Linked DNA regions of Sus scrofa. The protein of the gene in region 5 interacts with the protein of the main gene of each other region in a biochemical or structural test. Links are inferred from orthologs where the notes say so. Each region holds a gene or a part of one and is shown on either strand. Other genes may lie near its edges.

Region 1 (5,946 bases), on a different chromosome or scaffold from region 5:
CCAGATGCGGGTCGGATCCTGCACTGCTATAGCTGTGGTGTAGGCTAGCAGCTGTAGCTCGGATTTGACCCCTAGACTGGGAACTTCATACGCCTCAGGTGCAGCCCTAACAAAGACAAAAGACATGGAGTTCCCATGGTGGTGCAGTGGTTAATGAATCCGACTAGGAAACATGAGGTTGTGGGTTCGATCCCTGGCCTTTCCCAGTGGGTTAAGGATCCAGCATTGCCATGAGCTGTGGTTGTAGGTCGCAGACTCGGCTCGGATCTGGTGTTGCTGTGGCTGCGGTGTAGGTCGGTAGCTACAACTCCGATTGGACCCTGAGCCTGGGAACCTCCATGTGCCGCGGAGAGTGGCCCTAGAAAAGGCAAAAAGACAAAAAAAAAAAGACAACAACAACAATAACAAAAACACTGCATGTATTTTTGATTCTGTGATTCCACTTCTGGGATTTTATTTTAATTAAGTAATTTAAAATTATGTGCAAAGATTAAGTTGTATGGACAATCACCATATCTCTTTTTTTTTTTTTTTCAACGTTATAACACTGAGAAATTAGAAAAAATTCAGAATTTCTAAAAAGGTGGACTGGATAAGTATTATAAGGCATGTCCATATAGCAGAATACCATCACAGCCTTTAAAAACAGTGATGTAGGAGTTCCCGTCATGGCGCAGCGGTTAACGAATCCGACTAGGAACCATGAGGTTGCGGGTTTGGTCCCTGCCCTTGCTCAGTGGGTTAACGATCCGGCGTTGCCGTGAGCTGTGGTGTAGGTTGCAGACGCGGCTCGGATCCCGCGTTGCTGTGGCTGTGGCATAGGCCGGCAGCTGTAGCTCCGATTGGACCCCTAGCCTGGGAACCTCCATATGCCGCGGGAGCGGCCCAAGAAATAGCAACAACAACAACAACAACAAAAGACAAAAGACAAAAGACAAAAAGACAAAAAAAACCCAAAAAAAACAAACAGTGATGTAGACCTATAATTATAGTCATGGAAAAATGTTCACAAAGCATTAACACAATAAAGACAGGTTACAAAACAGCATGTATAATGGGATCTCATTTTTTGCAAAAACACACATACTTATAAATAATATACATATATAGCAAACATATATATATTTTACTACAAAGTGTAGAAGTACATATCAAAATTACTATAAGAAGCTATTTCTGAGTGCTGGAATTATAGGATTGGATTTATAAAATTTTTTATTATTTTCCTAATTTATCTATAAGGATCACAGGTTATTTACATAATGATTTAAAAGTTAAGAAGAAAAAAAAAGTAAGAAGAAAATTCAAACAGCGCTAGGCTTCACTATCTAAGAAATCAATACTTTAAATTAAGATAACCCGGTTACCTAGAGGAGCAGAATCGATTTTTTTCCAAGGGTTGAGGTATGTTTTTTTTTCTTTCCAATCACAATATTCCTGACAACTATCACTAGGCTGGTCCCACGGCAATTCTAAAAAACAAACAAGTCCCAGTTTTCTGAGTGTTTGCATCATTGTACAATAAAGGTTTTAAGGGAAAATAATCAGTGACACAAATCCATTAAGTTTCCTCCAAATTAATTAAATATGGTTTCCAAAATAAGAATGTCAACTCAAAGAAATTTCAAAGGCATTTCTAAGATAGATAGTCCATGTCCTGCCTTACTCTATCCAAAATTACTCACATGAATTTTCAAAGAGAGAGCTACTGTTATATGTCATTTAATAGCTATATACACACTTCATCTTTAAAAACCTCTGGGATTGAAAGTTCCAACTTGGTTATAAATAAGTTAATATTAAAATACTATCACATAAATACTATTCCCTTGATTTATTTCATTTATTTTGGTACAACAAATCTGGGTTTCCATAGGAAATTATCATAATTTATCATATGATAATTATTTATCATAATTAAGTAGCTCTTATAATAATCATTTATCATAATTAAATAGCTCTTACCTCCAGCCAACATTGCAGTAAGTACTATTCCACAGGACCAAACATCAACTGGTTCTGCATGAAATTCTTTTCTCTTCAGAAGCTCTGGAGCAACATATGGTAAAGTACCACACATCTTGTTCAATAAACGCTCACGATTATTGTGCCGAAAAACGGTTGCCAAGCCGAAGTCAGAGATTTTGAGGTTATCTAAACCAAAGGAAAAAAGATGGCACTGGATAAAAATATTTTGTAAATAGATATACTAAAAGAAATTGAGTTTTATTGGAAAACCACTGGTATTACTTAAGATTTGTAGATTCTCTACCTTAAAATGACCAAAAAGAAATTTTTAAAAAGAAATAAAAGACGTTGTCATATAGATAAAACTAGGAAAAGACTTCATGGCTTTCATGAACACACAAATATCATGGACCAGGTTAAAGAAAGATAATGGAGTCAAAAGGGCTTTCTAGAAAAGAACACTCCAGGCCTGGGCTAAAAGCAGGACCATGCCCTCATCAGGCTGTGGCAGAGGGCAAGAGGGAGACATCAATAATATATTAGGCACAACTTTCTCAGCAGCGAACAAACCCAGCTGGTCAGAAGAAAATGTACAAAGACACTCCAAAACTAAAGATCCACATATCACCAGAATTTCTTGTCGAAGTGACTAAGTTTAGAAAAGGAGGAGGAACTCTGTATAAAAAACAAACCAGGAAGTTCCTGTCGTGGCACAGTGGTTAACGAATCCGACTAGGAACCATGAGGTTGTGGGTTCAATCCCTGGCCTTGCTCAGTGGGTTAAGGATCCAGCGTTGCCGTGAGCTGTGGTGTAGGTCGCAGACGCAGCTGCGATCCGGAGTTGCTGTGGCTTTGGCGTAGGCTGGTGGCTACAGCTCCAATTCAACCCCTAGCCTGGGAACCTCCCTGTGCCAAGAGAGCGGCCCAAGAAATGGCAAAAAGACCAAAAAAAACCCAGAAGAACACATTTCCATTCTAACTTCTCATTTTCAACACACACAAACTGCAGGCAAAGCTTCCTTATAACTATACTTAGTAAATATCTACCACAACTGAGCGACACTGCACTAGCCATTGCAGGTAGATAAATTACTGAAAAAGACTAACTATAACAACTGCTGTGAAGGTTATGAAAATGTAGGACATTACAAGATCTTACAGAAAGGGAATCTAACCTAGTCTTCAGAGTTGGGGAGAACCCCTATTATTAAGTGTCCACTGGTACAACTTTTTTAGAAAGCCATCTGGCAGGAGTTCCCGTCATGGCGCAGTGGTTAACGAATCCGACTAGGAACCATGAGGTTGCGAGTTCGGTCCCTGCCCTTGCTCAGTGGGTTAACAATCCGGCGTTGCCGTGAGCTGTGGTGTAGGTTGCAGACGCGGCTCGGATCCCGAATTGCTGTGGCTGTGGCATAGGCCGGCAGCTGTAGCTCCGATTGGACCCCTAGCCTGGGAACCTCCATATGCCGCAGGAGAGGCCCGAGAAATAGCAAAAAGACAAAAAAAAAAAAAAAAAGAAAGCCATCTGGCAAAAGATGCCAAAATTTGAAATACTCACACTCTCTGAACTAGCAATTTCCACTTGTAGGACCATATCCACAAAAATACATCCAAAAATTCACAAATAAGGATATCTATAACAGTATTATTTGTAAATATCTTAAATGTCCATCAATAAAGAAATAATTAGGAGTTCCCACTGTGGCACAGCAAATTAAGGATCAGGTATCATTGTAGTGGCTGGGATTGCTGCTGTGGCACAGGTTTGATCCCTGGCCTGGGAACTTCCATAAGCCAAGGGCACAGCCAAAAGAAAAAATACAAGAAACAAAGTCTATCTACTCTACTGACATGGAATTGGGTATAAATGAAAAGAAAGGCAAGTGCCATAATAAATATTCATAATAATATAACTCAATTATTGTATTGGCCTGTGCACAAATTTACGGAATAGGCATCACTGCTCTATTTTTTTCAAGGCTAGAAACAACTTAAATGTCCTCAATTAGGGGACTGATTCTTTAAAAATCAATTACAGCCACCCAATATAAGAAGTAAGCTGTCGATAATAATTACTGGGATGTCTTGGGAGGTACCTACTGTCATAATCCTTTTAATAGGTATATAAGACACAGTCTTAGCAAACCACTGAGACTTAGAGTTCCAAGTTAACTGATAGTAATCACTGAAAATACTAATGGATGACCATAGCATTCCTTAGATTCTATTGTTTCACCAATTCTACTACATAATACTTAGCTCTAACTGCATATAATAAATTTAACTTAAGGATTGTGATTACTTCTAAGAAAAAAAAAAGGTACGCACATCTGTGAAGGAATACACAGGAAGACTTACACTATATTGGTGTTGTTTTCCTTTTTATAAGATTATCATTAAGCAGAAACAGAAGATTATTTATATAATATACAAGATATGAAATATCAACGTAATGAAAATCCACTCACCTAATACCTAGTTTAAGACCATTTTATTTCCTTTGAAATCTCCTATAAATCCTTCCCTAAATATTATTACCTTTCCTAACTGCAGTCCTTCCTTTTTAGAAGTTTTTATGTGGCTTGAAATCTGCATTTAATCAGAAAAGGACTCAATTTGTAGGTGAGGAATAGGAAAAATTGATTATAATACCATCGAAGCTATTAGTATTCAAAAAGTATTGGACCTAAAATGAAAAATAGAAACAGAAGGAGGGGAGTTCCCATTGCTGTGCAGTACAAATGAATCCAACTAGTATTATGAGGATTCAGGTTCAGTCCCTGGCCTCGATCAGTGGGTTAAGGATCTGGCGTTGCTGTGAGCTGTGGTGTGGGTTGCAAACATAGCTCGGATCCTGCATTGCTGTGGCTGTGGTCAGCGGCAGCTCTGATTAGACCCCTAGCCTGGGAACTTCCATATGCCAAGGGTGCAGCACTAAAAAGTGAAGAAGAGCCAGAAGGAAGTCTCCCAGCTTGTGCTCTCGTTTCTCAGAATTCATCAACAGACCATTCTATGGTTCCTTTTCCCCATACACCAAAATTTTGAATAGCTAAAACTGTGCTAAGCACCTTATAAAACAACTTGCAATTTTGAATAGCTAAAACTGTGCTAAGCACCTTATGAAACAACTTGCAATTTTGAATAGCTAAAACTATGCTAAGCACCTTATGAAACAACTTGCGAAAGGCTAAATAACCAAGGGAGAATCTTAAGTAGTTAGGTTAGTAGATGAGTTAATAAAATGATACCTAAAACCTATTAACCAAAATCTTAAGACTGATTGTAACTGATTGATGGGTTTCTGTTGATTTTTTTACTTTCTTCTTTAAACTTACGATCTTATTTCATGATTAGCTTTTATCCTTATAAAAAGGAAAAAAATCAGTATTTTTAATTTGGGAATAAAGTTTTCACATTCCAGATACTCCATTTATTATATAAGCTGGCTTAATTTATCTCCTTATATAAAGGTAAATCATAGAGTTCAAAAAGAGGTCAGAAGAAGGTTGTTAAGAACATACACATACATTATGATGGGGCACAATACTGCCAAAAACACTAAACCTTAGGGTTGGACAAGATGCTAAAAGTACTTTGGTCCAACTAGCCAAGCAATGTTTAAATTCCCTTTATAATATCCCTGATAATGAATAACCCAGGGTGAGTCTCATGTTATAAAATAACCTGTTCAGTTGTTGGACAGATCCATCAATGGGGGTCATCACTGCACTACTCCAAATTGCTTCCATATAGTTTTCATTCACATATTGTGAACAACTGTATTTAACAATTAGCGAGTTTTCCTTAAGTTCCTCAATTATTCCTTATTTTAGCTTCCAGCTCGTTCATCATTCTGGTCACTCCCCTACAAAAACACTTCAGTAGTCTACATGCCTTCACAGAACTGTCCTCAATACCCATTATTCCCGCTGTGGCCATACCAGAGAAGTGCTGGATGCTGTCTCCCTCACTCTCACC
Region 2 (6,561 bases), on a different chromosome or scaffold from region 5:
TGACTCAGAAAGGGTCACATTACAACTGCTTTAAGCTGCTCTTCATTCAAGAATGAATTCTAGTTTTGAAAGCAGAAGCTGGGTGTCACCCTCTAGAGCCAGATGGTTGAAATAGCTGAGAGCAGGCCTTTGGAGATAAAATGGTAACAGTTCTCAATCTGCAGTTCATAGACAAATCGGGTGAACCACAAGTAGACAAATGGTCCCCAAAGTCGGCCTAAAGGAACCAGTGTATGAAGCAGAATGATGACGTCTTTACCCTTTAACTTGAGTGTACACCATGTCTCAAAAAAAAGCAGGATCTGTCTGACTTTAGGAAGGAATGAGACAATAGTAAGAGGCAAATCTTGATTATTCCTGACCACCTCTGACTCTTCGAGCCACTTTTAACTTTCTAATTTATGCAAAACTATAAGTAACGAACAGAAAGTCCAGGATTCCATGTCGAGAAAAAAACTCGAACAACAAGACAGATATATTAAGTGGACTTTAAATAAAAGAGTATTATTTTCATGAAGAAAAACCTAAAGTAAGAATCAAAGCTTCTATGTGGTCTCGATGAAGCAGTTACACGGAGTTGCCCATGACGGCGACAAGTAGCTCAGGGCTGCTCAACAGGGCTAAACTGTGACTCCAGAGGAAAATTCTGTGTAATTAACAGGCAAAAAGGTTGTGACCCCAAAAGCTTGGCTTCATGAATCTATAGCAAGAAATAACAAAAGACATTGATTGCTCCATAACTGATGGGTGGTCATTTTCCAGCTATCTGCTCGACAAAATGTGCAGAAACCTGTTGTCATTAATCTCTGAACAACCATGAAAATGCCTTCTAGTGGGAAATGATATGGCTCTTCATGTACCACCTCTATCAGCTCTCTGCAGTCCAGGGATAGGGCCAAAGCCCTGTCTTAGGCACTCGAGGCACCACTCAGCTTATCTCTGAGAACAGAAACTATTCTCAAACTCCAAGAAGTCAAGAGGGACAGCTTTGCTTCAACCTCAGTTAAAAATTTCAATTCGAAACACAGCTGGGAAGGTAATCTTGAATTTCACAAAGAAGACATCCATAAACATCAACTTGCTTGGTCTGCAGTCTCTCTCTCTTTTTGCTTTTTAGGGCTGCACTCGTGGCATATGGAAGTTCCCAGGCTAGGGGTCGAATTGGAGCTACAGCCGCCGGCCTACACCACAGCCACAGCCACATCAGATCCGACCTGCATCTTCGACCTGCACCACAGCTCACGGCAATGCTGGATCCTTAACCCACTGAGCGAGGCCAGGGATCGAACCTGCATCCTCATGGATACTAGCTAGTCAGATTTATTTCCACTGCACCATGATGGGAACTCCCTGGTCTGAAGTCTTTCAGGAGAGAAAGAAGAAAAAAGAACTTGGAAGGCACTACCTTATTCCCTTTCCTAAAGTGAAGTACTTCTTCTAACACAGCAGGGAAATCAAGAATCCCTTGTTCAACACTCAGTAGAACCTCCCCAGAAATACTAATTACTAGGGTCCTGTGTGCAGTAACAACTGTTTTGCAAACAATGCAGCCCACGGCCTTGAAGCTCCTTACTCTTCCAGACCCAGCACTATGGCTGTTGTTCACTGCCCTACAAAGTGGAGTGCTGTCACTGCTAATGTCATGGGGACCACTATCCTTGGCTCAACCCTAATATTCCTGCTCAGTTTTTATCTGTTATTGCATTAGAAAGCCTGATCAGCTAGTCTGGAGATAGGCTGCTTCCCCTACTGGAGCCATAACTACATTCTCCAGCCATTTCTGGAGGTAGAGAGATAATACAAGCCTTTTCTGCTAGGAACTTCTGATATTATGACGATACCATGAGCATGCAAGAAATATGGCGGGAAGTCCACAAAGGAAGGGCAAGAGAAAAGGACCAGCCAATTTAAAAAGTGTGCTTGAGAGGTGCATTATCCTTACAGGGAATGTCCCACCAATGCTCTGGTGGAGGCCAGGTCAGGTACCAGACAGCAGGGATCACTACAGGTAATTGCTGGATGAGCTGGAAGAACGTTCAGAAAGGGGAAAAAAAGTCTGAAACATGACCCAACGGGGGTGGGAACAGGGAAGGGCAATTCCTAAGCACCATGACGAGAAAACACAAGTGTGGATGAGGGAGAAGGTGCTTCGGAGCACACGCAAACCACCATCATCACAGTGACCCAGAGTTCTGTGTCAGGAGCCTTCCCTGCAGTTCACCAGCCTGCAGACTAGGCTGAAGCACAGACTCCGCCCCTGGCTTGCACAGGACTCTGGGTTACTTTCTTCCTCTAACCGAGTCTCAGTTTCCTCAAGGGCAAAAGGAGAGGACTGAGTTATGTGATGTCCATTCTGGTTCTTCCAGACATGGGCGCATATTTGTCATCTCAGGGATGTCAGACAGGAACATACACCTTCCTGGAATCCCAAGGCTGGCAGCGGTCAGTGCCCACTGACGGGCACCGTCATATGGCCATAGTCAGAGAACAAGCCTTCAGCAGGAGCCAGCCAAGGGAATAAGAGACTACATTTGACCCCCCAAAAGGAAAGCCTCCATTTAGGCCCAATCAGTAAGTGTACCTACCTGATTGCCACACTGGCTTCTCACAGTTCTGTCAATTTTGGCCACATCTTCATCTGGATCTTGCAAAAACTGACGTAAAACAACCCCCACAACCCAAGGAAACACACCACACAGTCCAAAGACAAAAACACACACATAGAGAAGAAAAAGACAGTAGGTTAGGTTATGTGAGCACCATTTCTGCCAAACGCATTCCCCCGTGACCCCCTATCAATAAATAGGTGGGCAGAACCCAGGTATGATGAGAAGGGGGGAATCCTCCCCCACCTGTCTCCTTTGTACTCACAACGGCCACATTTGCCTTCCTTTTCCTGGAGCGAACAGAGACATCAGTGCCACTTTCCTCTTTCATAGTGTCAGGTTCCTTCGCATCCCTGCAAAGCCAGGGGGGGCACAGAGGTGAGGGTGAGTTCTCCCCAAATCTCGGCCCACCCCTCCCCCACCACTGCACACCTTTCCCTCTACCGCAGCGGCCAGGCCACTCACCTTTCCTTCTTCTCCCTCGGCATGGCGCTGGGCACAAGTTCAGACCTCAGGCCTGGGGGCACGAAAAGGCAGTGGGCTGAGGACCGGCGGCGGAGGGGGCCAGGGCCCCGCCGGCCCGTCCCTGGTACCCCTCCCCCTCCCGCGCGGGCGGCGGCGGCGGCGGGAGCCTCCCGGGCCGGTCGGGAAAATGGCCGATGGGCCCGGGGTGGCCTGTCACCCGCGGCGGCGCCAGCGACCGGCGATGCCGGGTCGGAACCCGGGGTGGGGGGGCCCTCGACGCCCCCCGAAACCCTCGCCGGCCCATCGCCTCCCTCGGGGCCCAGGCTGCCTCAGTCTTCCCCTCAACACCTCCCTGTAGCCTGTCTCTGAGCCGCCCTACCGGGGCACCCCGCGCTGACGCCTCTGGGGACCCGGCGACCCGATCTCGCCCCACCCCCACCCCCACCCCGGCCCGGCCCGGCCCGGCCCGGCCCGACCCGGGCGCTCCGGGAGTCCTTGCCCGCCGCGCCGTCCGGCAGCCCGCGGCGGGGTCCTTACCCGAAGCCGTCTCCGCGGCAGGCAGGCAGGCGGCACGAGCCGAGGCCGGACGCAGGAGGCAGGGGCGAGCGGGAAGCCGGGAGGCGGGAGGCGGCGGCGGGCCGAGCGCGCGGCGGTGGCGGGATCCGCGCCTGCCCCCTACACCGCGCTGGCGGCCGAGCCGGCTGCTCCTGCGCCCGGCTAAGAGCGGGACATTTAAAAATCCCAGCGCGCGGAACCGGCCCCCGGCCCGCCCTCGCGCCCTCCCGCCACCCTCCGCCCCGCCCCGGCCGGCTCGGAGCCCCTCAGCAGCCGCCCGAGGGCCCGGGCCCGCCCCGCCACCGCCCTCAGGACCGCCCCGCGCGGCGCAGGCCCGCCCAGGCGCTCGGCACCTCCGGGGGCGGGGCCAGCGAAGGGCGGGGCTAAGTGACAGGGCCTGCGCGCCGGAGGGGCGGGGCCCGGGGGCCGTGGCGGGGCCTGCGCGGCCTGAGCTGCGGAGCCCGCGCGGGGCGGGACGCGGGGGCCGGCCGGCGCGCGCGAGGGGGCGGGGACGCGCCGGCCGGCCGGCCGCGAGGGAGGTCTGGCGCGAGCGCGCGGAGGGGCGGGTCGCGGGGCTCCGGGGGCGGAGCCGAGCGGCGCCGGAGCGGCAAAAAGCCGCGTGGCCCGCGCGGGTGGAATGTAAACACCGCGGGCGACGAGGGTTCGGGCCCCGGCGGGGGTCGGGCCAGAAGACTCCGCATCCATCGGCCTGCCGCGCGCGCGCGCGCGCACTGTCGCTCCTTGCACGTCCTCCCCGCCCCCGAGAGACGCAGGGTTCCGGGCCCTGAGTTGGGGCGGGGATGTGCCCAAGGTCACAGCGCCTGGTCACAGGGCCTAGAACCAGGGCCTTAGGCCGCTAGGTCTGGGTACCCCTGTAGAACAGCTGTTACTCCTAGTCGCGTGTCAGCCCAACTGGCCATTCATGCGTGATTCTTTGCATGCATTCATTCAGCTAATATTCGAGCACCCTCCACGTGTGCCTCTTCCCCACAGATTCATCCCTGGCAGAAGCCCTTTCTGATGCTGGAATTCCACGCAGTTCTCTCCAGCGATAAAGTGTTTTGGCCCTTAAAGTCAAATCCACGCTCCCTGCCTTCCAGGGCTCCGCATGGAGTGGCCTTCGCCCCCCTCAGCCCTCCCCTTCAACCCCCTTCCCTGACGGCTCCCCTGATCACCCTCTGTCCTTTCTCATCTCAGGGCCTTGGAGTTTGTTGTTCCCAGCTCTGGCCCCTTGGGGCCGCTTGTCCTTCCGGAGAACGTCAATGACCACTGATTTAATCTAGAGCACCCCTCTCCCCAGGAGTTCCTGTCTACCCCATTGCCCTGCTGTGGTTCCTTCACAGCACTTGCCACCATTAAGTCTCTTGCTCCTTTCTGTGTTTGGTGCTCCTTTCCCTACTTTGCCTGTCCAGGTCTTGGCATAGTGCCTGGAGGAAGGGAGGCCCTTAAATCTTATTTGTGAAGGAATGCTTGAAAAACACAATCACCAAGCCCTTGTGGAGTTTATAGGCTATGGAGAGAGGTAGTACTGAACAATCGTGACTTGAAAGCACTACTGTATTAAGCCTCTAGAATAAGCATGTGGCAGAGAGCTCCTAAACACTCCTAAGGCCCTTCCTGATGTAGTCTCAGTCTTGGGCCCCCTCCTTCCGTGACTATCTTAAAATTAGAGCCTGGGTCTTACTGGTGGGCATGACTGTGTCATCCTCAGAGTTGCCAATTAGCAGATCGTTGAACTTCCTGGGGCTCTGAGGTCAAGGCCGCTGAGATGACTTGCTCAGGTTGGCTTAGGTAGACCTGGAATGCAGGTTCTTGAATTTCCAGCCCCGTGCCCTTAACAGTAACAGGTATCACAAACATTTCCAAAATAGCTTTGCACTAAATCTTTGGAGGTATTAACTAAATTTCGCAATAATCCTGTGATGTTGATACCATGATTGTCTTTTGTTGTTGTTGTTGTTGTTGTTGTTGTTGTTGTTGTTTTGTCTTTTGTCTTTTGTTGTTGTTGCTATTTCTTGGGCCGCTCCTGCGGCATATGGAGGTTCCCAGGCTAGGGGTTGAATCGGAGCTGTAGCCCCCGGCCTATGCCAGAGCCACAGCAACTCGGGATCCGAGCCGCATCTGCAACCTACACCACAGCTCACGGCAACGCCGGATCGTTAACCCACTGAGCAAGGGCAGGGACCGAACCCGCAACCTCATGGTTCCTAGTCGGATTCGTTAACCACTGCGCCACGACGGGAACTCCTCTTTTTTTTTAATAACAGCTTTATTGAGTTATAATTCACATGCTATGAAATTCATCCTTTTTTTTTTGGCTTTTTAGGGTCACACCAGCAGCATATGGAAGTTCCCAGACTAGGGGTCAAATCGGAGCTGTAGCTGTCAGCCTACACCGCAGCCACAGCAACGCTGGATCCGAGCCGCGTCTGCCACCTACACCACAGCTCACGGCAATGCCAGATCCTTAACCCACTGAGCGAGGCCAGGGATTGAACTGCAACCTCATGGTTCCTGGTCAGATTCATTTCTGCTGTGCCACGGCAGGAAATCCGATACCATGATTGTCTGATTTCACACATGGCAGCTCTCTATCTCTTACGGTCATTGAGAGGGTTAAGTGAAATAATGCAGCTGAATGGCTGAGTACAGTGCCTGGCACATAGTAAATGCTCAATAAATGACAGTTGTTATAATAATGGTAGTCTTCCTTAGTGACCCAAGCAGTTTATACTCCCGCCAGCAAAGAATGATAGTTCCTGATGTCCTATATCCTAGTTAATTTGTTCCTCAGTGGTAAAATGGATATGTGAATTTCGCTATATTCATTCAATGAAATACTATACAGCAATAAAGACAAACCCCTGACACCTACAGCAACATGAAGGGATGAATGGCACAGACATAATGGTAAGCACAAGAAGCCAGACACAAA
Region 3 (5,946 bases), on a different chromosome or scaffold from region 5:
GTGTTTAACTTTTTGAGGAACCACAGATTTTTTCACAAAGGCATACCATGTTACAGTCCCACCAGTAATGCGTGAGGGTTCCTGTTTCTTTGCCTTTTTGCCAACACTTATTATTTTCTTTTTTTTTTTTTTAAATTATAGCCATCTTCATAGATGTGAAGTGGTTACATGTGTAATTTTGATCTTGCCACAGTATCCTCCTTAGATGGTATATAAATTACATTCTTCTTGGAAATGTATGAGAATATCTGCTTTTTCAGACCTCTTGCCAACACAGTGTAATGTGAAACTTTTTGATTTTTGTCAGTCTGAAAGTTGAAACATGGAATCTTTATTTAGGCTTTCAGATTTTCTTGTATTGAGTTAGCATGGCCATCTTCTCATGTATTTGAGCTATTTGTATTTCTGTCTTTCATAAATTGTCTCTTCATATCCTTTACCCATTTATTATTGGATTGTTTGTCTTTTTCTTACTGCTTTGTAGAAACTTCACAGATATTAGGGAAATAAGTCCTTTGTCTGTGGTGTGAGTTGCTAATATTTTCCCTAGTCTGTCTTTTCATGAACATTTTGCTTAACTGCCATATGCGTTGTCCTGGGTGTTGTAGCTGTACTCTTGAACAAGAGATGCAAGGCTGCCCTCCCAGAGAATGTTCTAACAGGGGAATACCAAATAATCAAGATAATTTTCAGTTATGGTCCATACTTAGAGGAAAACTCAACAGCCTGTCATGATTATGGTGGGTAGGTGATAAAGGGGGAGTCTGCTTCTACAGAAAGCTGAATGGAAAACAATAATTTGCAGGCACAAAAGGTAAGATAGCCATTCAGATAGTTTTGAATGAGGAATTCAAAGTCCATGAAGGAGATTGAGCCATGCATTTTGGGGGCAGTGGAAGGAGGCCAGTGGAGCTGGGTGTAGTGATCAAAGGAAGGGTACAAGGTAAAGCTGGGAGGGACGCAGGGGCCAGACCTTGAGCACCTAGCCTGCCATGCAGAGTGTAGATATTACACTAAGTATGGTGGGAGGCCTCAGGAGGGTATAGGAGGAAGTTATTGTTATATCATAAGTATTTTTCCCAACCACTCAGAATTATTTGAGAATTTTAATGGCTGCTTAGCATTTCATGGCTATGTATAAACTAATTTATTAAAGTTGTTGGAAATTTTTGTTTTCTTTCTCTTTTTTGTTTCTCTCTCTCTTTTTTTTAATTTTATGACCATGGCATATAAAAGTTTTCAGGCCAGGGATTGAATCTGAGCTGCAGCTGTGACCTACACTACATCTGTGGCAATGCTAGATCCTTTAACCCACTGCAGGAACCAACACCTCTGCAGCGATCTGAGCCCCTGCGGTCAGATTCTTAACCCACTTCTCCACAGCAGGAACTCCTCTCCCCTCTCATTTTTAATCTTATAAAATCTTGGTGGACAGGTCTATAATTTTCATTGCCTTCTTAGGCTATTTTCCTTCAAGCAGATTTTATGAGAAAATTTTAAAGGTGTTTGATGCATGAAATTTAACAGCCCTCTGGTGTGTGCTTTTGTGTTACAGAGTGTGTTAACGACAGCTACTGGTTTGGGAGGGATAGAAACTGTGAATACTGCTTTGATGAGCCCCTGCTGAAAAGAACCGATAAGTATCGGACTTACAGCAAGAAGCACTTTCGAATCTTCAGAGTAGGTGACAAATATCCATACATTTGGGAGAACTGGTAATCTAGACATCTCTCTTAGATATCTCCCCACCAGAATGCCCCACTGTTAAAACTTTGAAATAAAATATTCTCTATTTTAGGAAATGGGTCCTAAAAACTCTTACATCGCATACATAGAAGATCACAGTGGGAATGGAACCTTTGTAAATAGAGAGCTTGTAGGGAAAGGAAGACGCCTTCCTTTGAATAACAATTCTGAAATTGCACTTTCAGTGTGGAGTAATAAAGGTAATATTATCTTCTGGTTACTGGATTTTTTTTCCTTCCCATATAAAAGGAAAAATGACATTTTATCCTTTGCAGAATATGGTTTAGGTAACTAAAGTAAGTAGATTAGCTTTCAAGATTCATCGCAATCCTGGTTGCATTTTTTAATTATGAAAAGTTCTATCAAGACAGGTTTTCTAAGGTTTAATTGGTTTGATTTAGTTTTATTTAAATCCATATACTGTCAATCGAATTATCACATTGCTTCAGTTATCATTCATTGCTTGACTCAGTTTATTTATTTATTTATTTATTTATTTATTAGTCTTTTGTCTTTTTAGGGCTGCACCTGTGGCATGTCGGGAGGTTCCCAGGCTAGGGGTCTAATCAGAGCTGTAGCCACCGGCTTACGCCAGAGCCATAGCAACACCAGATCTGAGCCGCGTCTACGACCTACAGCACAGCTCATGGCAATGCCGGATCCTTAACCCACTGGGTGAGGCCAGGGAGTGAACCTGCAACCTCATGGTTCCTAGTCGGATTCGTTTGTTTCGCCACGACGGGAACTCCTTGACTCAGTTTTATGATGTCAGCATGAGATATCTGTGAATTGTTATTTTAGGCCATTAGTTCATCTCCCCCTCTTCCTTCTCTGTCCTCCTCATCTATCAAACCATTATATATAGCCCGGCATTAGACTATGGGATTTCCTCTAACAGTCTCAGTTTAGACTTTCCACCTTCTTAAATATGACATGATTATCCTCTGAAAATGGAGAACATCATAATCATCAGGTACCATTTATTCCTAAAACTTCACAAATATCACATCTGAAGCGAACAGTTGTCATTCAGTGAGCATAAAAACCTACAGAATTCAGTATAGCTCACAGTGACTTTAAAACCTTGGACAAGAGGATACTCTTATTTCCTTAATTAAAAAAAAGCCCCATGAACTTCTCAAAACTCTTTTGAGAATTGAGTGACTTGGAGTGGTATATGTTTGTGTGGGTAGCATCTTAAAAATATAGATTCCCAGAGGCATTGCCCCATGGATTCTGATCCAGTAGTTCCAAGGATTTAAAAATCCTGCCCAGGTGATTCCCATGCAGCCGGCCTTCAGACTGGCATCTGGGAATTATGGCTTTCCTGGGTGTCCCATCGTGCTTTTTTTTTTTTTTTTTTGTCTTTTTGTCTTTTGTTGTTGCTGTTGTTGCTATTTCTTGGGCCGCTCCCGCGGCATATGGAGATTCCCAGGCTAGGGGTTGAATCGGAGCTGTAGCCACCGGCCTACGCCAGAGCCACAGCAACGCGGGATCCGAGCCGCGTCTGCAACCTACACCACAGCTCACGGCAACGCCGGATCGTTAACCCACTAAGCAAGGGCAGGGACCGAACCCGCAACCTCATGGTTCCTAGTCGGATTCGTTAACCACTGCGCCACGACGGGAACTCCCCCATCGTGCATTTTATGATTGACTTAGTTATCCCTGTTTTGCTGTTTGAGAGCACCTGGTCAAGGGACAGCTGGGTGCTGAAATTTGTTCTGTCCTCTATTTGACAAGCAGTGTGCCAACTTATTCTAATTGGTTTATCCAAGGTGCACTTTTCTAATTTGGCCAAAAGTGTTCTGTGTTCTGAAGCTGGCCATGACTTAAATAGATCAAACCAGTTCTCTGTAGATCACATGTGGCCTGTTGACATTTTATTTGCTGATATTTGTGCTTAAACATGAAAATCCAAATTACTTTCAAAAGATGGAATACCTTACTATCTTGAGTCTGTAATCTCCTAACCTGAGGATTTGCAGGTGTTGTGTAGAAGCTGCTTCCTTTCCATGGGTGATGTGTTTTCCTGTTCAAGTTCTCACTGCTCCGTGTCTTACATTCACCCTGGCTTTATCTCTGTGCAAGACCTTCCTGGCTTGTGTAGGCCACTGAGTTTGCAGACCTTGAAGTAGACCTTGACATTTGGGGAAATACATCTCCAGAGCTCTTCCAGTGCCCTGATTCTCAGGGGCCACTGGAAGATTTAGGTTCATAAACATCCACCAGCAGAATGGCACAGTGTATCCTGGGCGGCCAGCAAGTCTTATATATTTAGGCAGGTGTCTACCTCCCATGGACCAGCCTGGCTGGAAGCATCCTGAGGTGGTTCAGACTTGTGCCAGAGGTCAAGACCCATCACCTGAAAATATGAGAAACTCAAGGGTCTTAACAAATTTCACTCTTTCAAGATATTATAGGCAGTTGCAGGTTTGCCACTGATGACTTTGTAGAATTGGAATGTTTGATAACTGATTGCAGGCTTGACCTAATAGAGGATTAAATTATGAAATGAGTAGTGTTTTTGGTTTTCTTTTTCTGAGATAACCAAGCCATATAATGAAGAAATAAAGGGGATTTGGGGGGAAAGTGTGGTGTAAATTCAGTATAGTTCACTATAAAATACCCGATAGGTAATGGTAGAAATGGCTGAGAGAAGATGATGCTAGTATGGTGACTTCTGGCCTGATTTTTATTGGGACATTTATTTGCCTAGAACATATTTTCTAGATTCAGACTAATTGCTTTTTGGTTCTTGGTCTGTGCAATTGGTAACTGTTCTGAGGTCAAGCAATAAGAATACTATTTATGTTTAAGTTTCTTGCATTATAGTGAGAACAATGCTGTGTATTTCTGTTGTGGAATGAAACTTTTCTGTCATCATTTTTCAAAGGTTTCACAATATGCATTAACCTAGCTAAATGATTTCTTTGGGGATAAATGTGAAATGGAATTAAAAATGTTTATGGCTCAGTGGTTAACGAACCTGACTAGTATCCATGAGGATGCAGGTTCAATCCCTGGCCTTGCTCAGTGAGTTAAGGATCCCACGTTGCTGTGAGCTGTGGTGTAGGTCGCAGACATGGCTCAGATCCTGTGTTGCTGTGGCTGTGGTGTAGGCCAGTGGCTACAGCTTGGATTCAGCCCCTAGCCTGGGAACCTCCATATGCTGTGAGTACAGCCCTAAAAAAATAAATAAATATAAAGGACAAAAAAAAAAAAAAAAGGATTCTCTTATATTTCATATATTTACTAAGCTTTTAGGACCATTTATCTTCTCTTTATCAAATGAATTAATGACACCAATTTCTGCTATTTTTTTTCCCTCAGTTTTTGTATTTTTTGATCTGACTGTAGATGATCAGTCAGTTTATCCAAAGGAATTAAGAGACGAATACATCATGTCGAAAACTCTTGGAAGGTAATTTTTTTTTTCTTATGAAACTTGTGTTTGATTTCTTTCTAAACATTTGTCATTGGGAGTTCTCTAATGGCACAGTGGGTTAAAGATCTGGCACTGTCCCTGCTGTGGCTCGGGTCACGGTTGTGGGGAAGGTTTGGTCTTTGGCCCAGGAACTTCCACATGCCTTGGGTATGGCCAAAAAAAAAAAAAAAAAAAAAAGAGAAGAAAAGAGAAAAAAACAAAAAAAAGTTATTTTTCTTTGGTCATTTTGTTCGTGGTTTTATAGCGTTCTTTATATATATTCATAACATTGGTAGGGCACCTATTTGTGATAGGCATATTCTTGCTGTATTTAACAATGATTAGTTGAAAGTTTTTCTTTATAGCTTTTATTGGTGATAACTTTTTAAAAGCAGTTTTATTGAGATATAATTTACATACCATATAATTCACTCATCTAAAAGTGTACAATTCAGCAGCTTTTAATGTATTCACAGAGCTGTGAAACCTTTACCACATCAGTTTTAGAGTATTTTTATTACCTTCCATAAAGAAACTATTTACTACATTTCTTCCCTTTTTTTTTTTTTTTTTTTTTTTTTTTTTTAGGGCCCCACCCATGGCATGTGCAAGTTCCCAGGCGAGGGGTCGAATAGAAGCTGTAGCTGCTGGCCTACGCCACAGCCACAGTAACATGGGATCCTTAACCCACCGAGTGAGGCCAGGGATTGAACCCATGTCCTTCTGAATCCTGGCCAGGTTCGTTACTGCTGAGCCATGACAAGAACTCCAAG
Region 4 (5,946 bases), on a different chromosome or scaffold from region 5:
GCTTGACTCTTGGCCCAGCAGCTTTCCAGATTTAAGCCACACTTTTGATACTTGCCGCTTTTATAATGTATACATGCCAGAGACTCATTAGGTAGTTTTCCTATAATACTAAGTTTAACTTACCCTGAATTTCAGACCCTCACAAAATTTTTTTTAACCTAAACATGTTTTTCAATAAATTTAAAGATTTAAAATGTTTTTCTGTTTATTTCCTTTAAAATAACATGCATATAATCATTCCAAATTGTTTAGGCTCTTTATTCAGAAAAACAACAAGTTCTTGAGTTCAAACTACGTCTTTTTTTCTTTTTTTTTCTTTGTCTTTTTGCCATTTCTTGGGCCGCTCCCGCGGCATATGGAGGTTCCCAGGCTAGGGGTCTAATTGGAGCTGTAGCCACTGGCCTACACCACAGCCACAGCAATGCAGGATCCGAGCCGCGTCTGCGACCTACACCACAGCTCATGGCAACGCCAGATCCTTAACCCACTGAGTGAGGCCAGGAATCCAACCCGAAACATGGTTGGTTCCTAGTCGGATTCGTTAACCACTGCACCACGACGGGAACTCCCTCAGGTACATCTTCTAAATCATCTTTTACTTCTCCAGTATCTATTTATTGATTTTACTCCCAAAACAAACCTATGAGGTATAGGTTTTAATACCTTAAAATTTCTTTGAGAACTTCATTCTACTCTATATTTTTTGTTACAGAAAGATTTTTAAATTACTTAGCATCAAGTAAAATTGATAGTCCAAGAAAGTACCTCTCATATTTGTCTTTTGTGACTTTTTAACACTCTCAGGCACACCTTGTACAAATACCTCAGTTTGGGAAGTGCTGGCTCATTGGATCAAGCCGAAGTTTTCTTTGTATGAAATGGGAAATAAAAGATATACTTAAATACTAACCCAGTTTTCAAAAATGATTTTAAAAATAATTCCATTCAGTAGCCGTAACTGTCAGATTGCCCGCTAAGTTTGTAGATCACTTACTCGGATCCCCTTACTCGCCCTGGTTCTGGATGGGCACTGGTTGGCAGAGGATGCTGAGCAGCCCCGCCCTGGGCCGTGACGACTTCCTTGCTCTGCTTATACTGTTCAAACTTGATGGCTTAAACATTTTGTTTCCCTCCCTGAAGTGATTGCACATGCTTGTTTTCTCACTGTTGTGTTCCTTCTGTTACTTCTCGACACATCCCTTCCCCGGGGAAGCTTGTCCTAGCAGTGGCCCCTCCAGCAGAGCCAGATAGTCGTCCCCTGTGCTTCCATAGCCCCCTGTTCATGTGTCTTTTATGCCCTGTGTACTGGTCATAGTGTACTTACCTTTTTCCGTACTAGACTGTGAGCTCTTTGAGGGCAGGAACCTTCTCTTTATTTCCCCTCTGGTCACATGCAGTGCCTGGCACCTAGCAAGTGCCTCTTTGAATGAATGGATGAACGAACTGACAGGCTCTTTCTAATTATGATTGTTGATGTCATCTAGCTTTACCGTTAGAAATTATCACTCACTGTGAGCCAAGCCATTCAACTAATGGCAGCCACCTGGCCCCTGCTCTCTAGCCCATGCTTTCAGTCCAGGGTGGCACGGTGTGGAGTGACTGGTAGTTACTTTTATTAGTGCCTAATGTTTTAACTTATTTCTTTCAGGAATTGTTGGATAAGTATTTAATAGCCAATGCAACTAATCCAGAGAGTAAGGTCTTCTACCTGAAAATGAAGGGAGATTACTTCCGGTACCTTGCTGAGGTTGCTTGCGGTGATGATCGGAAACGTAAGTGCGCTTGGTTTTATGGGTACAGCTAAGAAATAAAAGGAGAGCGGGATAAATTCATACTGTTGCCTTACATTCTCAAAAATGAAAACAGTCATGAGTTTACATTATGCGCCCTTTTTGAAAAATTAAACTCATAAACTGATTATAACCTGATAAAGTTTATTAAATATTATTTAAAAAAACATGCAAGTATTGGGCATTCCCTTCGTTGCTCAGCAGTTAACGAGCCCGACTAGGATCCATGAGGATACATGTTTGATCCCTGGCCTCACTCAGTGGATTAAGAATCTGGCATTGCTGTGACTGTGGTGTAGGCCGGCAGCTGTAGCTCCAATTCAGCTCCTAGCCTGGGAACTTGCATATGCCACAAGTGTGGCCCTGAAAAGGAGGAAAAAAAAAAAAAAGCAAATGTCTATCACAGATCCACAAATGCATACATTATGATGGCAACTCCAGAGGCATCATCAGGAGACCCCACTCCTTCATAAATTCCCAAAAGAAGTATGTACAAATATTAAACAAAACACATGTACAAAAATATTCATAGCAGTGTTATTTGTAAGAACACAAACCTCGAAACAATTCACATGGGTATCACCAATCGGATGGACGGACAGATAGTGGTCGGGTCCTGTTTTGAGGATCCCGGCATCCGTCCCCTGGCACAGTGATGCCTGCCTATCCACAAGTAAATTTGCCCCTTTTTTGTACTCAGGCTTGACAGAGGCTTCGAAGCTTTACAACCTTCTGGTGCATTAACCCTTAGCTGTGCTTAGAGGTACATTTCCTGATGTAGGAGAGGAATGAGGGGTTGGTGGGTGGAGGGAAGCAAAATGGAGAGTATCTGGGAGGGGAAGTGAAAAAAGCCCCCATGGGACTAAAGGAGGGATGAGGTGGGGATCAAAGCACATCTGCCTGTGTCATAATTTTGCTTCAGGAACACATTCTAGGTGTACCGTACAGAAGTGAAGAGGCGTTTCCACTGCCTGTAGCCGTGTGGACAGATCTCAGCAATCCGGTGTTGAATAAGGAGTTCCCTGATGGCTCAGTCGGCAGGCTGCGATCTGGCGTTGTCACTGCCGTGGCACACGTTCAGGCCCAGTTAGTCTGTGGCGTTAGAAATCAGGAAAGGGCTTGGGAAGGGTGTCGAAACTGGGGGCGGGGACAGGGGGCCTTCTTGATACTGAGAATGTCCTGTTTCTCGAGCTCGCTCCCAAGGTGACAGACATTTTCTATCAAGAGCCAGATGGTGCATATCTCAGGGTTCATAGGCCATGTAGTCTCTGTCAGCAGCCACTCAGCTCTGCTTTCGTCGTGGAAAGGCGAGTATAGACAACATGTGAATAAATGGCTGTTGCTGTGTCCCAGTAGGGAAAACCCCAGGCTTATTACTCTTTAGCCTTTAAAATTTGGTTCATCATATTTTTAGCCCCAGAGTTCTTTGCATATGCTTTGGATGTCACATGGTCTTTAGCATCTTATATCTGGAAACTTAAGGTAACTGGAAATTACATGTAGGCTAGAGAAATAGGATGTTGTACTTTTTCTGCTTGACATATTAATTCATTAGCTACTACCCATCTTGAAGGATCATAACATTGACTGCTTATTATAGATAACCAGATTTCTGAAAAAGAGAGGTAAGATGAGAGTAGTATTACTGGTATATAATTTATCATAGAAAACATAGATATGGGGCAAAGAATGACCAAGTTACCTAACGTGATTATAAAAAGGTCAAGGTAAACTTATTAGCAGTGAACTCAGTCTCCTGGAGTAATGACAGCTGGGCATGCCATCCTGTTAAATTCTGTGTGTGTTCATCAAGCTATAGAAGTTCCGCTTAACTCATTTTTTTCCCAGAAGTTCATTATTTTCTTCATTTTGCCCCATCCCAAAAGGGCATGTACCCACACACATTACGGCCTCCTCTCCTCTCTGCTCCATAGAGAGACGCTAACTAAAAGTGAGACAGTTCTACCACCCCAAAAGCAGTGTATTTGAGCACATAAAGGAAAACTCTTGTGCCTCACTGTAACACAGTCTGTGTACTGTTGTTATTCATATGTAATTTCTGTTGCTATAAAGATAAGCAGACCTGGACATGATTAGTGTTTGCACAGAACTAAACGCTTAAATGTCAGCCAGCCGAAGGGATCGAGAGGTTGAGCCATAGCCACGCGTTCATCCGATCTAACCATTTCTGACTCGGCCTCTTCTAGTCCTGTGCATAGACTACTCTGGTAGTCTGGTATTTTTTACTACCTACAAGCTGAGACGCCATTCGTACTCATTGTAGCGCTTCCTTCTGTGCCAGGGAGCAAGAGCTCCTTAGTAGGCGAGGGCTGTGCCAGCTGTGATTACCTCAGTAAATGCGCCATTTCAGAGCAAGGAAAATGCACACGTGCTGGCTGTGAAGGAACAGCTTAATTTCTGTTAGGTCCGTCTTTTTTCAAGCTGTAGTGGGACCAAAGGCCTCATTCAGAACACCTGCCCTTTGCAAAACATGGTTTAATCAGATTAGTGTGGGTAGTGCTTCCTGGACGTTTTTTTCAGGAAGGTAACATTAGGCCAGTAATTAAACTCTGGTCAGAGCAGATTTGGATCTATCTCTGGGTGCTTTTATATTGCCTTTCACATAATACACCTTGATACCAAGGGTAGGTGGTGTTTCTACAGGTAAATCACAAAAATAGAGATTTTGGTGGTGATCTTTGTAAAATGTTTCCATTATTTCAGGATGGAACATTATAGCTAGCTTTTTTCCGAACTTTATTGAGTTATTATTGATGTGTGTGTACCAAATTATTTTTAATCAAAAGACGTGGAAGAAAATTGTTTTAGTCCCAGAAATGGAAAAATCTGTTGTATTATTACATGAGGTTTTTTTTTTAAGCTGATTATAAGCAAGCAACATTATAAACTAGTTTTTTAAAAACCTGGTACAAAGTAATGTTTTTGGCTTGCCGCTATGGTTTTAAAAGAAGACTGCAGAGGAGTTCCCATTGTGGTGCAGCAGAAACGAATCTGACTAGTAACCATGAGGTTTCAGATTCAATCCCTGGCCTGGCTCAGTGGGTTAAGGATCTGGCCTTGCTGTGAGTTGTGTAGGTCGCAGAGGTGCCTCTGATCCCACGTTGCTGTGGCAGTGATGTGGGCCAATTCAGCCCCTCACCTGGGCACTTCCATATGCTGCAGGTGCAGCCCTAAAAACCAAAAAATAAATAAAAGAAGGCTACAGAGAAAAATCTGGTTCTACTGAGCTAGCAGCCTATGTTAAAGGTATTGCTGAATACCAGGTGGGTATTTTCAGTATCATGTTTTTTATTTTGTTTTTTCCTTCACAGAAACGATAGATAATTCCCAGGGAGCTTACCAAGAGGCTTTTGATATAAGCAAGAAAGAGATGCAACCCACACACCCCATCCGCCTGGGGCTGGCTCTTAACTTCTCTGTATTTTACTATGAGATCCTCAATAATCCAGAACTTGCCTGCACACTGGCCAAAACGGTAAGCTCTGCACGCGGAAACGGCCTCTAGGTGATTGGAGAGCAGCTTGTTGCTTTCCAGTTGTTTCTACTGCATTTATTTGGATAACCCTTCCTTTTCTTAGCATCACACCCCCCCGCCCGCCACTGCGCTTCGCAGGCCCTTACTCTCCCGGCTCTGGTTTAGAGTAATAAGATCTGTCTAAAGGGCATGTAGGTTAGAGTATTCGGAAGAGTGTGAAAGAAATGGAAAGGACTGGAAGATAATGCCTGCCGGGTTTTTATAAGTTTCAAGTCATACTCAAAAGTTCTTAGGCTGAGGAGTTCCCGTCATGGCGCAGTGGTTAACGAATCCGACTAGGAACCATGAGGTTGTGGGTTCAATCCCTGCCCTTGCTCAGTGGGTTAACGATCCGGCGTTGCCCTGAGCTGTGGTGTAGGTTGCAGATGTGGCTCGGATCCCGCGTTGCTGTGGCTCTGGCGTAGGCTGGCGGCTACAGCTCTGATTGGACCCCTAGCCTGGGAACCTCCATATGCCGCGGGAGCAGCCCAAGAAATGGCAAAAAAGACCAAAAAAAAAAGTTCTTAAGCTGAGAATCTGAGGAAATGATTTCATTGAGTTTTGTTTTTAATGGATAATGGAACATAAAGTGAATGTTCGTCTAATTTATGAAAATGAGGT
Region 5 (5,946 bases):
ATTGCTAACACTTATTGAAGCATGTATTATGTGTAAGGCAAAGATTCCAAAAATGAGGCAGTTCCTTCCCACAAAACACTGAACATGTGGTCAGTAAGACATGTCAGGTGGCCATGAACCACATGTATCACAAGGTAACTTGAAGTAAACATTAGTGTAACACAAGCAGCAGACTGAAGAATGAGAGGAGGGGTTGTCTCAGCCCAGCAACTGGGGGAGGTTTCAATCCGGGCTAGATATTTCAGCCAGGTGGGAGAGATAAGTGAGTTAAAAATAGAAGACAGATGCAGTCTGAAGGGAAGAGCAAACAAAGACTTGGGTGTGGTATGTCCTTGTTGGTAGAAGCTTGCACTTGACCTAAAGCTGTTGGTTATGTTTGTCATAATGATCTTGCACACGGCCACAGGGATGGGTGAGCCTTGAGTGCACCAGTCACCCTAATGAGTAATGCTGAGGTGCTTGTCTTCCCCTTCAAGGCTGGGTTGGGTCTCACTCCTTCTACCTCAGTGTCTAGCACTGTGTTGGACATGGCAAATGCTCAGTAAACCAGGGAAGTTATTCTTGGCTGTGTCCTTTAAGTGCTGAGGTGAGGGTTCCTGACAAAAGCAGGAGAAAAAGGAAATCACCTGAGGTTTCTGTATTGCAGGCTGGCCTATTAGCTGGCTAACCTTGAACAAAGTGTCTGGCTTTGACATCTGGAAATGGGGATAATGTGCCTTAAAGGTCTGCGAAAGTTCAGTCAGGATGTTAATGAAGCACCTACACAAATAACCAACATGTACTATTAGATTATTTTTTTTTTGTTTATTTGTTCGTTTTCTTTCTTGTCTACCCCATGGTATATGGAGTTCCCAGGCCAGGGATCAGATCCAAGCCACAGTTATGACCTGAGCCACAGCTGTGGCAATGAATGGTGGAACTTTAACCCACTGTGCCAGGCTGGGGACTGAACTGTGTCCCAGCACTGCAGAGATACCACCAATCCCATTGCACCACAGCGGGAATTCCAGTATTACCTTTTTTTTTTTTTTTTGGTCTTTTTGTCCTTTTAGGGCCGCACCTATGGCATATGGAGGTTCCCAGACTAGGGGTCCAATCAGAGCTGTAGCTGCTGGCCTACACCAGAGCCACAGCAATGCCAGATCCGAGCCCCGTCTTTGACTACACCACAGCTCGTGGCAACACCAGATCCTTAACCCACTGAGCGAGGCCAGGGATCAAACCCGCAACCTCATGGTTCCTAGTCGGATTCATTTCCGCTGTGCCATGACGGGAACTCCTCCAGTATTGCATTTTTAAGCTTTCAGATTTACTAAGTGTTTCTCTTCTCTCTCTCTTTTTTTAAGGGTTATCTCTTTCATACAGTTGCTGGGAAGCATCAGGATTTAAAATACATCTCTCCAGAAATTGTAAGCCATCCTTTTGGAACCTGCCACACATGGGGTATTGAAATCTCATTGTTCTTAGCAGCCAGGGTTAATTCTCCTCGGTTCTCTTTCCACAGATAGCATCTGTTTTGAACGGCAAGTTTGCCAACCTCATTAAAGAGTTCGTTATCATTGACTGCCGATACCCATATGAATATGAGGGCGGCCACATCAAGGTATGGATTCCTAAAACTTGCCAGTGAGTCCTCTTGTCATGGGAGCTATGGCAGCATTTCTGTGGGTGTTTTGTTTTTTAAAGGGGGAGGTAATGTTTGGCTGCTTATAAAGCTTATATGCTGGTTATCATAAGTGTACAGAGAGGCAGTGGTGGGAGTTCCCATTGTGGCACAGCAGAAACGAATCCAACTAGTATCAGTGAGGATGCAGGTGTGAGTGTGCAGCCCTAAAAAAGTAAAACATATGAAAAGAGGCAGTGGGCATGAAAGGCATCTGAGTCCTGGTACACAGAAAGAATGCTCCCTTGTCTGTACTAATCCCTACCACATGGCATAGCAAATGCTCCCTGTTTTGTCCCTTACGCCATCACCATCAGGGGCATTTCCAAATAGTGCCCACTAATTTCATGACTGAACATGAAGCCAGAGGAGAAGCCAGTCTTTGGCAACATGTCCCCATTTGTGCCACACCTAGTGATGCCTCATAAGTTTTAGAGTTAAGTTAAGTTGCCTGGTTAGGCCAGTGTTGGAACGCTTTTCCAGAAAGAAGATAATTGATTGTGCCATTTTAATCTTTTTTTTTTTTTTTTTTTTTTTTTTTGGGTCTCTTTAGCCTTTTCTAGGGCCGCTCCCACAGCATATGGAGATTTCCAGGCTAGGGGTTCAATCAGAGCTACAGCTGCTGGCCTACACCACAGCTCATGGCAACGCTGGATCCTCAACCCACTGAGCAAGGCCAGGGATCGAACCCGTAACCTCATGGTTCCTAGACAGATTTGTTAACCACTGCGCCACGATGGGAACTCCTGTGCCATTTTAATCTTTTAACCACTAAAATAGTGTTGAAATATGGTAAGGAGGTACTTTAATCACAGCGTTAATGTTTGCCACTGTCTTATGGCTGTGAAAGCCCCACATTTACCCCCCACATTTACAAATACCACTCCTAAAGCACATGTGGTCACAACGGAATTTGAGGTGCCCATTTGAATCATTACTGTAAATATGAGGTGAGAGTCTCTGGTGCCTTCACAGGGTGCAGTGAACTTGCATATGGAAGAAGAGGTTGAAGACTTCCTACTCAAGAAGCCCATCGTACCTACAGATGGCAAGCGTGTCATCGTGGTGTTCCACTGCGAGTTCTCTTCTGAGCGAGGCCCTCGCATGTGAGTGGGCTCTGGGACTTGGAGCACATCACAGGTCATTTACATGCCTTAGCCTATGCACATGGTGTGTAAATACATGGGGTTTTGTAAAGTATCAATTCATGTGTAGCAGATGTTCTCTCAAATTCTTACCTATTTAGCAGTCAGTTGATTTCATGAATAGCTTCCTGGAGTATAGTTCATAGGCTTAACCTAACAGTTTCTGTTGTGAAGGCTTTTCTGGTTTCCCCAGGGCAGCCTGTAATCCTGATATCTTGCCCATACAATATCTTTCATAGATCTGGGCTCTGCTTCATCACTCCCACTTCTGAGTTAGTCGTGGCTCACTGTTCAACCTTTCTTTATATTAAACTCTGGCTCTTCCAATTTCCCCTATTGTCTTTAGCTGTTCTCAGGCCACTGTTTTCAGGTGATATCCTTCAAGTACAATGTGGTTACTCTATGCAAATGCCAGAAAAGTGTGACATCCTCACAGTAAAACTTGATGTGACACTTTCAAACATTTGTGAAATCCATGTTTGCAAAGGAGTGGGTTATATTACCTTCACATTACTGCTACATTAGGGGTGAAAAAGAAATGCCACCACACACACACTCCCTCTCTCGCTCTCTGTCTCTCTCTCTCTCTTTTTTTTTTTTTTTTTTGGCCATTTGTTGGGCTGCTCCCGTGGCATATGGAGGTTCCCAGGCTAGGGGTCTAATCAGAGCTGTAGCCGCCAGCCTACACCAGAGCCACAGCAACGCCAGATCTGAGCCGTGTCTGCAACCTATAGCATAGCTCATGGCAACGCCGGATCCTTAACCCACTGAGCAAGGCCAGGGATCAAACCCACAACTTCATGGTTCCTAGTCGGATTCACTAAAACCACTGAGCCACGATGGGAACTCCTCTCTCTCTTTTATTAACAAGAATTTCTATTAGGGCTTTGGTGTGAAAGGCCCTGTTTTTGGGAAGGGTACATTTTATACCAAGATAAATGAAAATATAACTACAGTAAAACAACATTCACTTAAGATCCGAAATAATCATCTGGTACTCTTAATAGCATCCTTCCACATTCTCACTAATAGTAACTGGACTGGTGCCAAAAATATGGTGAGCAGTGAGTGATAGTTATGAAAAGTGGTGGTGGTGGGGGGGCAAACAGCCACCCATCCATTGTCCAGGTCCCTTCAGAAAGGACTGCCACACTGGACATGTCAGGGGCTATTGAAGCAATGAAGGTACAGCAGTGAGGGGACCTGCCCCCGGGGAAATCACAGTGGAGACGGAAGGTGGTAGTGACAGGTGCTGAGCAAATGGGGATAGAGGCGCAGGGAGCAATTCAGCTTCTCTAGGGAGGTCAGAGAGACTTCTCATTGGGCCAGATTCAAGGTTTTTTTTTTTTTTTTTTTTTTTTTTTGCTTTTTAGGCCCATACCTGCGGTATATGGAAGCTCCCAGGATAGGGGTCAAATCCGAGCTATAGCTGCCAGCCTGTGCTAGCACAGTGTGTCACAGCCACAGTAACTCAGGATCCTACACCACAGCTCATGGTAATGCTGGATCCCTGGTCCACTGAGCAAGGCCAGGGATTGAACCCTCATCCTCATGGATACTAGTTGGATTCGTTTCCACTGAGCCACAGCGAGAACTCCCAGGTTTAATTTCTTGTGCCATCTTTTTTTTGGAAGTAGTTGAAGCGCAGAAGGAACACATGCTTCCCCTGAATTCATCAAATTTCAATATTTTGCTAAATTTGCACACATATAACTCATAAAAATGTTTACAATACACTTGCATATGCACAACTACAAGAACTTGGTGTGTGTGACCATCTCTCCAAGTCCTTCAGCACCTATCTCCTAGAGATAAGGACTTTGCCCCACATTAGTCCAAAACCATAAATACATGAAGAGGTGGGCTTTCAGCGAGACCTAATGTTTATTCACAAGTGGAATTATTCACTTTGCACACTATTACTTCACATGTGCCAGGTACTGGGGAGAGTAGCAGTGGACAAAACAGACAAAACCCACTGTCTTCTAGGAGCTTACATTTCATCTTATCTGGGCAGGATATGTAAACTTGTGACATGTTAGAAGGTGCTAAGACCAGAGATGAACAGCAAGGGGACCACAGTGGCTGAGGCATCAGGGAAGCGGGGGATGACACATTGTAGGCACTGTGAGGACTCTAGCTTTTGTACTAAGAGTTGAAAAGGAAGGGGGCACCAGTGGATGAGGATATCTGTATTTAGTCCAGGTATAGGATACAAATAGTACCCTGAGGCAAGAGTCAAGTTTAGCCCATTTAAAAAAGCCACAGGAAGAAAAATGCCTTCCTAGGAGGTGAGGGAGAGACACTGGTTGAGGAGAAGGTGGAGAATGCAGTGAGAAGCATGCTGAGAGGCTGTCTCTGCTGATGGGGTGCTGGGTAGAAATCAGATGCTAGGGCTGCTCAACTTGGAAACTGGAAAGAGGCCCTCTACCTTCCAATACAAGGCTGTGAACACTTCCTAAAGATCACAGGTAGCCAGGAAATCCCAACTCGGCACTGTTTCGAAGAATGAACATAAGGTTGCAGAGACATGTGTAAGGAGCACTTAAACCACAAACAACCCACAAGTGCTGTTTTCTGAAACTGTAGAGCTAACCGTGCTCTGGCTTTCCGTCCCCTCTGTAGGTGCCGATACGTGAGAGAAAGAGATCGTCTTGGGAACGAGTACCCCAGACTCCATTACCCAGAGCTGTATGTCCTGAAGGGTGGATACAAGGAGTTCTTCCTGAAATGCCAGGTAAGATGGGCTCTCTGGAGGATGTGGCCCTCCCTCCCCTTGCCTAGGTTGGACAGTTAGACCTGGCTGGTGGTTACAGCTGTTTCTTCCCAGGGATTTGGGGATTTGCCCTGCACGTAGAAGGGCCCTAGAACCACTGACCAGAGCCTTGCAGCCCCTGGCAGGGAGGGAGCAGGAGAGTGCCTGTGAGGCAGATAAGCCCTGACCTCATCTTGTCTGCCCACCAGTCTCACTGCGAGCCCCCCAGCTACCGGCCCATGCACCACGAGGATTTTAAAGAAGACCTGAAGAAGTTCCGCACCAAGAGCCGGACCTGGGCTGGGGAAAAGAGCAAAAGGGAGATGTACAGCCGTCTGAAGAAGCTCTGAGGGTGTTGGTGCCAGACTGCAGCAGCCTGAGCC

Evidence for each region.
Region 1: of the proteins of CDC25A (region 5) and CHEK1, one has a biochemical effect on the other in vitro, tested with the Homo sapiens proteins (7 studies listed by BioGRID and IntAct, with this or other methods). The link is inferred for Sus scrofa from reciprocal best matches to the Homo sapiens genes CDC25A and CHEK1.
Region 2: the proteins of CDC25A (region 5) and CCNE1 form a complex in vitro, tested with the Homo sapiens proteins (2 studies listed by BioGRID). The link is inferred for Sus scrofa from reciprocal best matches to the Homo sapiens genes CDC25A and CCNE1.
Region 3: of the proteins of CDC25A (region 5) and CHEK2, one has a biochemical effect on the other in vitro, tested with the Homo sapiens proteins (5 studies listed by BioGRID, with this or other methods). The link is inferred for Sus scrofa from reciprocal best matches to the Homo sapiens genes CDC25A and CHEK2.
Region 4: the proteins of CDC25A (region 5) and YWHAQ form a complex in vitro, tested with the Homo sapiens proteins (2 studies listed by BioGRID, with this or other methods). The link is inferred for Sus scrofa from reciprocal best matches to the Homo sapiens genes CDC25A and YWHAQ.

The regions. Positions count from the first base shown.
Region 1 is NC_010451.4:52,764,941-52,770,886, reverse strand, and holds part of CHEK1 (serine/threonine-protein kinase Chk1), read right to left. Parts: intron 2,155-5,946; coding exon 1,966-2,154; intron 1,473-1,965; coding exon 1,368-1,472; intron 1-1,367. UniProt on the Homo sapiens protein: Serine/threonine-protein kinase which is required for checkpoint-mediated cell cycle arrest and activation of DNA repair in response to the presence of DNA damage or unreplicated DNA.
Region 2 is NC_010448.4:39,916,843-39,923,403, reverse strand, and holds the start of CCNE1 (G1/S-specific cyclin-E1), read right to left. Parts: upstream 3,864-6,561; 5' UTR 3,609-3,863; intron 3,124-3,608; 5' UTR 3,095-3,123; coding exon 3,072-3,094; intron 2,960-3,071; coding exon 2,872-2,959; intron 2,655-2,871; coding exon 2,586-2,654; intron 1-2,585. UniProt on the Homo sapiens protein: Essential for the control of the cell cycle at the G1/S (start) transition.
Region 3 is NC_010456.5:45,955,833-45,961,778, reverse strand, and holds part of CHEK2 (serine/threonine-protein kinase Chk2), read left to right. Parts: intron 1-1,555; coding exon 1,556-1,680; intron 1,681-1,798; coding exon 1,799-1,946; intron 1,947-5,079; coding exon 5,080-5,170; intron 5,171-5,946. UniProt on the Homo sapiens protein: Serine/threonine-protein kinase which is required for checkpoint-mediated cell cycle arrest, activation of DNA repair and apoptosis in response to the presence of DNA double-strand breaks.
Region 4 is NC_010445.4:126,765,205-126,771,150, forward strand, and holds part of YWHAQ (14-3-3 protein theta), read left to right. Parts: intron 1-1,648; coding exon 1,649-1,772; intron 1,773-5,122; coding exon 5,123-5,286; intron 5,287-5,946. UniProt on the Homo sapiens protein: Adapter protein implicated in the regulation of a large spectrum of both general and specialized signaling pathways. Binds to a large number of partners, usually by recognition of a phosphoserine or phosphothreonine motif.
Region 5 is NW_018085145.1:125,721-131,666, forward strand, and holds part of CDC25A (M-phase inducer phosphatase 1), read left to right. Parts: intron 1-1,346; coding exon 1,347-1,409; intron 1,410-1,504; coding exon 1,505-1,603; intron 1,604-2,638; coding exon 2,639-2,769; intron 2,770-5,433; coding exon 5,434-5,545; intron 5,546-5,772; coding exon 5,773-5,913; 3' UTR 5,914-5,946. UniProt on the Homo sapiens protein: Tyrosine protein phosphatase which functions as a dosage-dependent inducer of mitotic progression. Directly dephosphorylates CDK1 and stimulates its kinase activity. Also dephosphorylates CDK2 in complex with cyclin-E, in vitro.